Linked DNA regions of Mus musculus. The protein of the gene in region 3 purifies or fractionates together with the protein of the main gene of each other region. This does not show direct contact. Links are inferred from orthologs where the notes say so. Each region holds a gene or a part of one and is shown on either strand. Other genes may lie near its edges.

Region 1 (3,748 bases), on a different chromosome or scaffold from region 3:
ATTCACCAAAAAAAAAAAAAAAAAAAAAAAAAAAAAAAAAAAAAAGCCATTCAGTTCAGATAAAGGGTTTTAGTGACCCTCAAGTTTATTGTCTGGCTACCAACAAATGGCCAAATTGAGTTCAAAATAGAAGAATTAGAATGTAGGTAAAAGGCATGATAATTAAGCAATCTCAGTCAAGGTGTGGTCTGGTTGATAGTTACTTCAATTCTGTTTTTCAGGTGGTTTAAAGAAGTCCTCATTGCCTTAGGGAACAGACTGATTCTCAGGTCTTGTGACATGTGCTGTAGGGTGAAGCCTACATCACAGATAATTGCTTTCACTCAGGAGCCCTGGAAGATCCACGTTGCTTAGTTTATCAGAAAGATGTTAACTGATCATTACTATTGCTCCAGGAATTCAACTTGACTACAAGTTTAGGTCAGGGACTGGACACCTTCAGACGCCTTTTGGACCCCAAATCAAGGATTCATCGCTTTTTCACAAATGCAGTTCCCAAGTGTTCCTTATGTTATTACTGGCAGGAAAGCACAGCTGCTCGATAGCCCCTCCCTGTCTTATTCTATTGTAAACATTCTTTATCTTTTATTGGGAAGCCCGCTCTTGGACGCCAGAGCTGTTAATCGGCGAAAATGGAGATGAAGGAAAGTAGTTCCCGGATGGCAAAAACCGCACCCCTAAGTGACCATTCAGAGATAACGGCCACCGAGCGCTGAGGCAGGGCCTGTGACCACTACGGGAGGCGACTTCGGAGGTGTGTGTGTGGGGGGGGGGTGCGACCACAACGTGAGTCGTCTCAGCCCCAACCCTCCGAACGTCCATGGCGTCGGGATCCCCGCTCTACTAAATCCGCATCTGCGGCCTACGCCAGCGGACAATTCAATGAGGAAGCCGCTCTCTAGAGCTGCCGGCGATTGGTCGAGCCCGTGAAAGATGATTGGCTCTGGCCTTCTTCCGCTCGGGCGGCCCGGTGACACGATTGGTGCAGACTCATAGCCGCTCCGCCTGCTCCCGTACGTAGCACGTCACTATCCGGCGTGCCCCGTACCCGCCTCCTCCGCTCGGCCGGCCCAAGATGGCGGTGCAGGAGTCGGCGGCCCAGCTGTCCATGACCCTGAAGGTGCAGGAGTACCCGACCCTCAAGGTGCGTTCTAGGCGCGGCTAGGGTCGCCACCGCATCTTGGGAGGGGTCGTGGTGGTGCAGGGGCTGGGTCGCTGCCGGAGTCGCTTCTGGAGGGACTGCACGGCCGGGGGCGGGGTCGGGGGCGGTGGGGCTGCGGCTCTCCAGCGCGATGGGCACGGGCCGGGGCCTCCCGATGGGGCCAAGGGGGACCTCTCGGTGTACTGTGACCTAGGTGGTGCGGGGCGACAGAGTCAGAGGGCTTCCGAGGCCCGGGCGGCGGGGCCTGAGCCCTGCCTCCCACCCAGCCTTCAAAGCCGAGAGGCTGCGGGCCGTGCGAGTGCGGGCAGCGAGGCCACGGCCGGGGCGGCGGGCACTAAAGAACCAGGGGCCCTGGACGCGGAGGTGGGTCGCGGCGGCCCCGGGGCGTCCTTCCGGAAGCTCGGCCTGGGGCGTGGCGGGCATGCCTCTGGTGCTAATTAGGGGGCCAGTGGGGAGCACTGGCGACCCGGTGGCACCCCGCCTCGCTGGGCGTCCCCAGAACTCCAGCGCAGCTCCTGCCCTTGGTTTCCGGGGCGTGACCTTGGGTGGTCGCTGCGCCAGTGCGTTCCTTTAGGACAAACGTTCATCCCCGCCGGAAGACTGGGAGGCTTCAGTTGCTAGAGGGCTTGATGGTACCGGATGGACTGCGGTGAAGTACCTGGGAAGAAAAGCCTTAAGAGGAAGAAAAAAATTCTTTGGTTCCAAGGAAGGCCGGCAGAGCCTTCGTGTTCTACATTCCTTGGCTGAGGTCTGGGCAGCTTTTCTTCTGGAGCTCTTGGCACCTCATCCATCTCTTTGGTGACCCAGTGGTTGTTTGGTGGTGGGTGGGTGGGTCGTTTAGCTAAGGTTGAAGACTACAGGTTCTAGGCGAGACCGCTTTTTCTGTGCTTAGGGAGACCCAGATTGTATGGGAGGCACCTGACTTCTGCTGGTGTTCCCTTGTCTGATGTAAGCCCTAGGGAGCACTTGTTTTCCTCCCCGAGGGTGAAGTGAGCGAGCTTATATTGCACATGGAAGTCTTGGCATTCCCTGGAAGGCATCTCTTGTCATTGTCCCTGTGACATCTGACTGCTCTGGAGTAGTTTGTCTTCACAGGAGGGCAGAAGCAAGGCCCAGCTGGCCTTCTTCTATAGTTGGTGAGCAGCCATATTTGATCAATGTTTTGTATCCTGTGCTTTATTTGACTAAGGAAGGGAGCAAACACCACCAGTCTTTTTTGTCAGATGTTCAAAATGTATGGCTTGGGGGAGTAGGAGGTACTTGTGACAGACCTCGGTCTTGTACGTGCTAGGCCAATGCTCTGCTACTGAGCTACATCCTCAGGCCTTGTTTTCTTTCTTTCTTTTCTTTTCTTTTCTTTTCTTTTCTTTTTTTTTTTTTTTTTTTTTTTTTTTGAGGCAGGCTTCTGTAGGCCATGAATCCGAGTGCTGGGATTACAGGTGACTCTTACCAATCCTGTAGTTTCCTGGCACTCTTGGATTTCTGTTGATTGACAGATGGAAACCCTGACTCTTAACAGTGGTCATACTTGGGGCCTTCTATCACTAGACCTGTAACCACTGACGTCTGGGCCTCGCCAGGACTTCCAGACCTGTTGCAATGAGGTTGCTTTGGGAGAACGTGGCTATTTGTTCTGGCTGGTGAATTTGGGACCCACAGACAGGAAAGGTTTCAGAGCTCCCTCCCTCTCTGGCTTACTGAACGCATTAGGCAGTGAAATGGATGGTCAGGGTTCCTCCAGTCCGTCCTCTGGTGACCAGGAATGCACTCTGCATTCCAAAGCTATTGCACAGCTCTGACGAAAACGATTCTGTGGATCTCTGTGCAGGTACAGAGAGGTGGTGGTGTCATGGAAACAGAATCACACCTTTTCTTTTCTTTTTTTCTCTTTGACGAATGATAGAAAGAAAAGTTTTTGTGAGTAGAAATGCTACTCCCTCCAGGTCCTGCAGACCCTTGCCTTATAACTTCTCTGCTTTGTTGACAGTGTATCTTTGCTTTGTTCACGTTTTCCCCTTACATTGTTGTTGTTTGGCTGGTTTTGACTTGTTTTTTTTTGAGACAGGTCTGTTGTAGCCTTGGCTGGGCTGTAACTCACTGGGATAGCTAAGGATGACCTTGAGTTTCTGATCCTTCTTACTGTCTCCTGAATGCTGGGATTCCAGGCAGTGCAGTGAGAGAGATCAGATCCAGGACATCTGCATGATGGGCAAACATCCTGCCAACTGAGATGCATACTTAGCTGCACTTCTGTACTTTTTCAACAGTAATTGATGGTGGGCACTTTATACTTTGATTCAGAAGTGTTTGATGACAGAATCAATCAGAATACCAGGAGAGAGGTGTTTGTGGTCAGTCCTTAGGAGGGTCCAGATGCATGTATGGCATGTGGGTTGGGATCCCTCCCAGAAGTGAAGACTGGTGGCTGGAGGGCTCCCCAAAAGCAGTTGGGACTGCAGTATACTGGACAGACTTAAATTTTTTAAGATTTATTCTTTGAACATTTCATAACTTATGTATGTTTATTGACAGATTGTTCACCTGCAGAGCAAGGCCTCTTCAGATGTGCAGCCTTGGGATCTGGCG
Region 2 (3,648 bases), on a different chromosome or scaffold from region 3:
TTTTTAGATTATTATTTTTTCCTGTGCTGAGGAAGTAACTCAGGGTTTTCACATGCTAGGCAAATGTTCTACTACTAAGCTAGACCTCAGCCCTAAATTAAACTTTAAAATGATATTTGAAGGTTGAAAAAGGGAGAAAAGAGTGTCCATTAAAAAAAAAAATACTGGAGAAGATGGAGAGTGTTTGTGGTAGAGCATTTGTCTAGCACGCACAAAGTCCTGAGTTTCATCCCAGCATTGAAAATTAAATAAAAAGTTTGTTAAAGCAGTGGATTTGTCTCCAGATAATTTCTCTTTTGTCCGGTCACCTGACGCCCTGGGCTTCTGACTCTGTCTCCCAGAGACCAGGAGCAAGGGCATAGCCTTTCACTGCTTGTTGCCAGTTTAGATGGCAGATGCCTGTCTTTGTGGCACAAATGGTGCTGTTTCTTGGCTTTGGTGAGGTATCATGGGCATTCTTAATTCAGTCTGACCAGAAACTCCAGTAGATGTGCTTACCTCATTGTTAGAGGCAATCAAAACCCAGTGACAGGTCCTGGGAACCAGAACTGAAATTTATTCTTTCTAGGTTATTCTGTCAATGGTCTCCAAGAGGTACCAGGTGGGTAGGCAAGTAGGCAGGAAAGTAGTATGGATTGGTCGGTTAGATCCAGAGCTATGTTTCTGTGGGCTTACCACAGTAGGTAGGATACTGCAGTAACCGTGAACACCACCCCCAAACCAGGCAGAAACCCAGCAGTTGAATAGGACCATGTGATCATGGTTTTTTGTCTTGTTTGGGGGCTTTTGTTATTAATTGTTTTGTTTCTAGCAGTCTTTAGAACTCTCTGGTGTCTTACTGGAAAGGGAAGGTCTTGACTGGTCCCATATCTGTGTGCAGGAGCAGTTCCTAGTCCCGGACCACACAATCAAAGACATCAGCGGTGCTTCCTTTGCTGGTTTCTATTACATCTGCTTTCAGAAGTCAGCAGCCTCCATAGAGGGCTACTACTACCATCGGAGCTCAGAATGGTAAGGACCTGTGGCCAGTACTACCTCAGACATTGGCCTCAACTCCAGCTGTCACATCTGGAAGGAGATTCTCCCAGTCTACTTCTGTCCAAATCTTGTACTCTTTGTGTGTGTTGAGGTCATTTAGATGGTTTCACATTGAAAAGGGACTCTTTCCTATCTAGAGAGTGAACTGAAAAGTGGTTATTATGTAAAGATATAGTCTCTAAATACTGTAAAATTTTTTAGACTTTTTATTTAATGTGTATGCATGTTTTTCCTGTATGTATATATGCATACCACATGTGTACCTGGTGCCTAAAGAGATTGAAGAGGACATTGGATCCCCAAGAGCTAGAGTTATGAATGGTTGTGAGCCACCATGTGGGTGCTGAGATTCAGGTCTGGATCTTCTTCTATCTGACTCTCCAGCCCCATTTCTCTCTCTCTCTCTCTCTCTCTCTCTCTCTCTCTCTCCCTCTGTGTGTGTGTGTGTGTGTGTGTGTATGTGAGAGACAGACAGACAGACTCACACAGACACATAAACACGCTCTCTTACAAACACACTAGAGGTAGAACCTCATGCTTGTTATGTGGGATGCAAACCAAGGCCTTGTACATGCTAGTATGTAAGTAACTATTCTATCACTAAGCAGCACCCAGTATATACTTTCAGGCAGTGTTGCATTTTCAGGAATGATTACCTCAATCCTGATAATATATATTCCTCATAAATTTACCAGTAAATTAATGTTATCTCTTACAGACAATGTGACTTTTTAGTTACACCCTGGCACTGCCTCTCATGCACTTGATCTTGGGCTGATGAATGAGGGGGCCATGAGAGTTCACCTTCCTACCTTATGCTGCAGACCCTCTGAGTCCCTTTGTCTGTGTGGAACGAGTCTCTGAGGCAGGTGGACAAGGCGTCAGCGGGTGACAGACAGACCAACATTCGAGATTGTGTAGAATCTGAATGTAATGTCACAAAGTGAACACCAATCTTATATAGTACAGAAAATACAAAGGGTAGCAGGCAAAGTACATTGAAGTTACTTGATACAAAACAAAGGAATGACAACAAAGGGATTTACAGAAACCAGGTAGATGTTTACAGTAAAGATAAAGCAGTCCTGCCTAGGGTCAGCTTAGTGACAGGTAAGGATTTCACACTCTAGTGCTATACCTTTGAACCTTGTGAAAGCTAGCACCAGGGGGTTCTTCTGCTCTTAGCAGGCCTCATGAATAATGCAACATCACAAACCCCTCTCCTCCCCATTTCCTAGGCCTTGCCAAACCCCCACATGAGTGTAACTTTTAAGTAACTGGAGAATCTCCATTTGTCAGAAGAATTCACCAACTTGCTTCTAATATGCAATGTAGCCTGTACTGAAGATTTCTATCTCAGTGGAATTCCCTGGCACTTTCATGGTAGTCCCTTGTTTGGGTGCGATTTGCTACTGTCCTTAGTAAATACTTTGCAGACCAGCTCTGAGCTGCTGGCTCCATCTTTTGTAATGCTTAATTAGTTACTGAATAGGTAACTTCCTTACTGCATTCTTGCTGGATTCCAAGCTTCTGGGACCTTGGGACACTGGGGAGACTTAACTGTATCAGAATTTAATCTTAAAAGGCATTTATAATAAAATATCAAAAGAGAGCTCGTAGTTCCATACACCAGACTAACTCGGAAATAGGGTATGAGTATATGGGTAAATGAGAACGCCAAAGCTCCAGGAGGTGAGTTTCCGTGAAACACTTTTCCTCGTTGAGTGCTTACAGACTTTCAGCCTGTCAAGCAGACTTGACCGGAGGGCGTGGCAACCTTATGTTCCTCCAAGGCTAGGGACAGAAGGCCACCTTAAGTGCTGGCTTTTGCCAAGGGGACTTTCTTGTTTCCTTCCTATACCTTGAGAGTTAGCTGTACCAGTTTATTTATTCTTTGAAATGGAGCACTGTGGGCTGGAGAGATGGCTCAGCAGTAAGGAGAGTTTCATGCTCTTCTAGAGGACCCAGGTTTAGATCTCACCACTCATATGGTAGCTTACAGCTGCCTGCAACTCCAGTTCCAGAGAATCAAATGCTCTTTCATTCCAAGTACCCCCACATATGTAGTACACATAAACTCACACAGACTCACACACATAAATAAAAGTTAAATACATTTTTAAAAAATAAAATGAGACACTAATTTCTTTCCGTTTTTGTTGTTTTAGTTTTTATTCTTACTTGTGAATGACCCTAGCCTACATCGATTCAAATTCTTTGTTCTTTAGTTTTGTTTGTTTTGTGAACCTAGGGACTGAGTTACATTTGTTTGTTTGTAGACATAGTTTACTGTGGTGACCATAAACTGAAGAGATCGGGAACTTGTATTCTTCTGCCTCCAGCTCCTGGGTAGCTCGGATTACAGACCTGCACTCCAGGCTTGACTTTTGTTTTGTTTTGTTGTCATTTCAGACAGGCTCTCACTATGCACCCTTGGCTGAAGAAGAACTCTATGTAGACTAAGCTGGCCTCAGACTCAGAGAGATCTACCTGCTTCTGCCTTCATGTGGTGGGATAAAAAAGGCTTGTATCTCTAGGACAGTCAGGGCTACACAGAGAAACTGTTTCAAAAAAAAAAAAAAAAAAAAGCTTGTGTCACCATGCCCAGCC
Region 3 (3,748 bases):
ATTACTTAAGTGGTGCAACCAAAACAAGCAAAACTCCAAACAATTATTATTTTAGACTTTGACAAGTGATGTGTGAGAGAAAAAAAAAATTGTGCTGTAAGAGATACAATGAATTGATGGAGAAAATTCGGGGAGGCAGAGGTGATACAACCATGGTGGAAGTAGGAATGCTATGAGCAGGCAAGCAAGCTGGCAACTGCAGGCCCAGGAAGGCGGACTCTCCCAGGCCCAGGCTGTGAGGCAGGGACTTGACGAAAAGCTAGTAGGGTAGAAGCCTGGTGAGCAAGAGGGCACAGGCCAAGGCCAGAACCCCGTGGTAAACCAGGGCAAAAGCCCTACGCCAAGGTAAGGGCAAGGAGCAAGGGCCAGGTTGCTCAGCTCGCCCACGCGTGTTCGTGACCGCCGCCAAGATGCCCAGCACGTGGACAAGGCGACAGGGAAGGCCACTTGCAGGCCGAGGGGCGTCAAGAACGAGCCAACGCTGGGCGCGGGCCATCCCTCTAAGAGCTACCACCTTCCATCGGGTTAGTGACCCCGCCCGGGCCCTCCGCCACTAGGCGGCCAGACAGACATCCTTTGGCCCCGGAGGTGGGCCTCTCAGTCGAAACTCCGGCCAAAATTCCATGCGGAGAAAACACAAATTGCAATCAGGGCGAAATCCTGGAGAAAACAGCCCCGTTAATTGCTGTCATGTTTCCCCTCGCGGCTTCCCAGTAGAAGCGCCAAGCTCCGCTCTTCAAGCCAACCCCCCTCCAACAGCGAGCGCATTGGTTTGGCTCCTCAGTCTGGATTGGCTGAAGTTTTACGCCTCGGCCCAGGATTGGAGGATGTTTGTCTCGCTCCTAACCCCCGCGTCGATTGGTCACTCTTCTGCTTCTGGGCGGAGCATCCGGGGACGGTTTCCACCCTCTTGTTTACCGGCCGCGTAGTTGACGCTATCGCTAAAGTTCCCTGTTCAGCTGCGCGGGCCAATTGCGTCGCTCGCCCCGCCCTCGCCCCGCCCTCGCCGCGCTCCCTCACGGCCTCCCGCGTGGTACGGCCCACACCTTCAGAACGCCCGCGCGCCCTCCGCCCGTGCTCGCCCGCTGCTTCCCCCTGACCCCTCGCCGAGTCCGCGATTGGTACGGCCCGCGCCGCCTCCTCCGCTCGTGAGGGAGGCTCGACCCCCTCCCGGGCCGCGGCTATTGGTGCCGCCCGGGAGAACCAGGTCATCGGCCGGTTCCCGTGAAAACAAAAACAATCGGCGGCGCCGCCGAGGGGCGGCCGAACGCGGCGAGCCAGGGGGGCCCGGGGCGAGACGCGGCGCCGGGTAGGGCGGGCGAGCGAGCGCGAGCGGCGGGGCCGGGGCGCCATGGGGCGGGAGGGCACAGGCTGCGCGGGGCTCCCCCGGCGCCGCGGCTAGCGCGCCCGTCTTGCCTTCGCCTCCCGCGCCGCCCGCTCGCCGCCTTGGGGGAGGAGGAGCAGGACGCGGCCTCGGTGGGGCCCGGGCCGAACCACTGCGGACCCCCGGGCGCCGGGGAGCCGAGCGCCGCGGTCTCCGGCATGGATCAGTGCGTGACGGTGGAGCGCGAGCTGGAGAAGGTGCTGCACAAGTTCTCGGGCTACGGGCAGCTGTGCGAGCGGGGCCTGGAGGAGCTCATCGACTACACCGGCGGCCTCAAGCACGAGATCCTGCAGAGCCACGGTGAGGGCGGGCGCGTGGGCGCGCGGGGGTCGGGGCCCTGCGCTGCGTCTGCTGGTCCCCAGGCCGCGGCGACCCGCCCGGAAACGCGGTGGCCTGGGGCGGGGCTGGGGGTCTTGCGGGGTCCTGCGGGCCGCAGGTGTGCGAGTGATAACGAGGGTCTGCGCAGGACTTTGTCTAGTTTTCGGCCTCGCAGACTTTTCTCCCTGATGGTTCTTAGTTTAACGTTCTTAGCTGTGGGTTGGTTTCTACATCATCGGCTGCTGCAACTTCAGAGTTGGACTGATGTGGGCAGGCAGTTCTTCTAAACTCTTCCTAGGAAGCCGGCCGATTTAAACCATTCAGCGTCCCTGCTGTAGCCTCTGTACAGTCCGACCGGGCAGATGTCGAGTTGCTAGTTACTTACCTAGTCCAGTTTGTACTTGTTAATAATCCTTTCAGAAAACAGCTTTTCCGTAGAAGGTGTTTTGCCTACGTTATTTCATCAGTGGCCCTACGTCTTGTACCACAGATGCCAAGGCTAACTCTGAGAAAGAGTTTTGTGTTTTAAAAATAACACTAAAGGTCTGGTACCTTGGAGCCACAATGCTGACTCTTTCTGAATGAGAGATAAAGGACTTGTAATATTATGGATTTACTCAAGAGTCCGGGCCCTTGTCAGTTTTGTGGGCTGAACAGAAATTAAAGGGATATTTATTAGTCAGGGAGAAATGAGGATGTAGCAGGTGAGATTAAGGCAGTGTTAGCCCTGCCTCTCCTCTCCTTTCCTCTACACCTTTATTTCCCAAACACTTCAGTTGTGGGTGACTGCTCCTCCCTGGTAAAGGAGTCTGACAACTTCTGACACAGCTGTCACTTTGGAACGCTGTATAAATATATGCAAAACATGTTGATGGCTTCATGCGAAAAGATTATTTGACTGAATTGATGGTGATGGTATACTTGATGCTAACAGAATAAGGTGGGGTGTGAGAAAATCTGTTGAATTTTGACTCATGAGATTAAAGGGTTTGAATATATGTGAGGTGTATATATAATATATATATATATATATTACATATATACATACACACATATATGGATAGATATAGATATTCTTGGAATATATGTGAGCTAAAATTGGTTGTTTTCTTTTGCTTGTGGTGTTTTGAGGTAAAATCTCTCTGTGTGGCCCAAGCCAGCTTTGAATTTATAATCTTGTCTTCATCTTTCTAGTGTTGGGATTCCCAGTGTGCCCCTCTGTGTTTTCAGATATTTCTAGAAGGACAGTGGAGATCATAGGATGTGAGATGAAAGATCTTAGGCTCTAAACACAACCAAAGTAGAGCAGAAATGAAAAGGGCAGAAAAGGATAAAAAGAGAGCTGCTTAGCTGGTACTTGACATTTTGTGGACAAACCAGATTATTTCAGGCTAAGAAAAAAATAGTGCATACCGAAGTAGAAGGCAGTCAATCCAAGGTGGTCCTAGCTCAGGGCTTAAAGACACCGAACACCCCCCTTTCCCAGAGGACATCTTTGTCTTTTGACCGAAAAGGAGAAAGCCAGTAGGGGACGAGAATGAACATAGGGCCTACACCTGGAGAGGCAGAAGGAATACTCCCTTTTGGGGGACCAGGTCAGAGATTGAGGGGTTGCTTGAGAGAGAAAAGATAGAGAACAGAGTCCTTTCCAGAAGAGTGATTATGGAAGAGGAGAAGTGGTGGTGAGGTTTGTTTTAGGGAAGTTGCAGTCAGTTCCAGATGGTTAAAATGATTGTAAAAATTGCCAGGTCAGGGATTTTAGGCCTCTTTGCTAGTAAGGGAATGTTTCACAAAGCCTGTGGTGTGAGGGGTAGTAGGCACAGTGTATATACCATGCTGTTATAACAGGTAGTGGGGCTTGTTCTTGATTGGCAGCCTCTTTTTTTTTTTTTAAACATTTCTGTGTAACAATGCCTCTGTGGCATCTGTTATTTTCCTTTAATCAGTTGACTAGAATTAAGTAATGAAAAGTAGTTAAACACGAAAGAAATACATACGGATATTAGGTCAGGTTCTTAAGGCAGTCTTGTTTCTTTTGAGTGAAGA

What was found.
Region 1: the proteins of Rmnd5a (region 3) and Maea purify together in Homo sapiens (affinity purification with mass spectrometry; 5 studies listed by BioGRID and IntAct, counting the BioPlex papers as one, with this or other methods). This does not show direct contact. The link is inferred for Mus musculus from reciprocal best matches to the Homo sapiens genes RMND5A and MAEA.
Region 2: the proteins of Rmnd5a (region 3) and Gid4 purify together in Homo sapiens (affinity purification with mass spectrometry; 4 studies listed by BioGRID and IntAct, counting the BioPlex papers as one, with this or other methods). This does not show direct contact. The link is inferred for Mus musculus from reciprocal best matches to the Homo sapiens genes RMND5A and GID4.

What each region holds. Positions count from the first base shown.
Region 1 is NC_000071.6:33,334,502-33,338,249, forward strand, and holds the start of Maea (E3 ubiquitin-protein transferase MAEA), read left to right. Parts: upstream 1-1,070; 5' UTR 1,071-1,075; coding exon 1,076-1,144; intron 1,145-1,606; exon of another isoform or gene 1,607-1,910; intron 1,911-3,748.
Region 2 is NC_000077.6:60,437,563-60,441,210, forward strand, and holds part of Gid4 (glucose-induced degradation protein 4 homolog), read left to right. Parts: intron 1-880; coding exon 881-1,011; intron 1,012-3,648.
Region 3 is NC_000072.6:71,437,934-71,441,681, reverse strand, and holds the start of Rmnd5a (E3 ubiquitin-protein ligase RMND5A), read left to right. Parts: upstream 1-1,044; 5' UTR 1,045-1,542; coding exon 1,543-1,684; intron 1,685-3,748.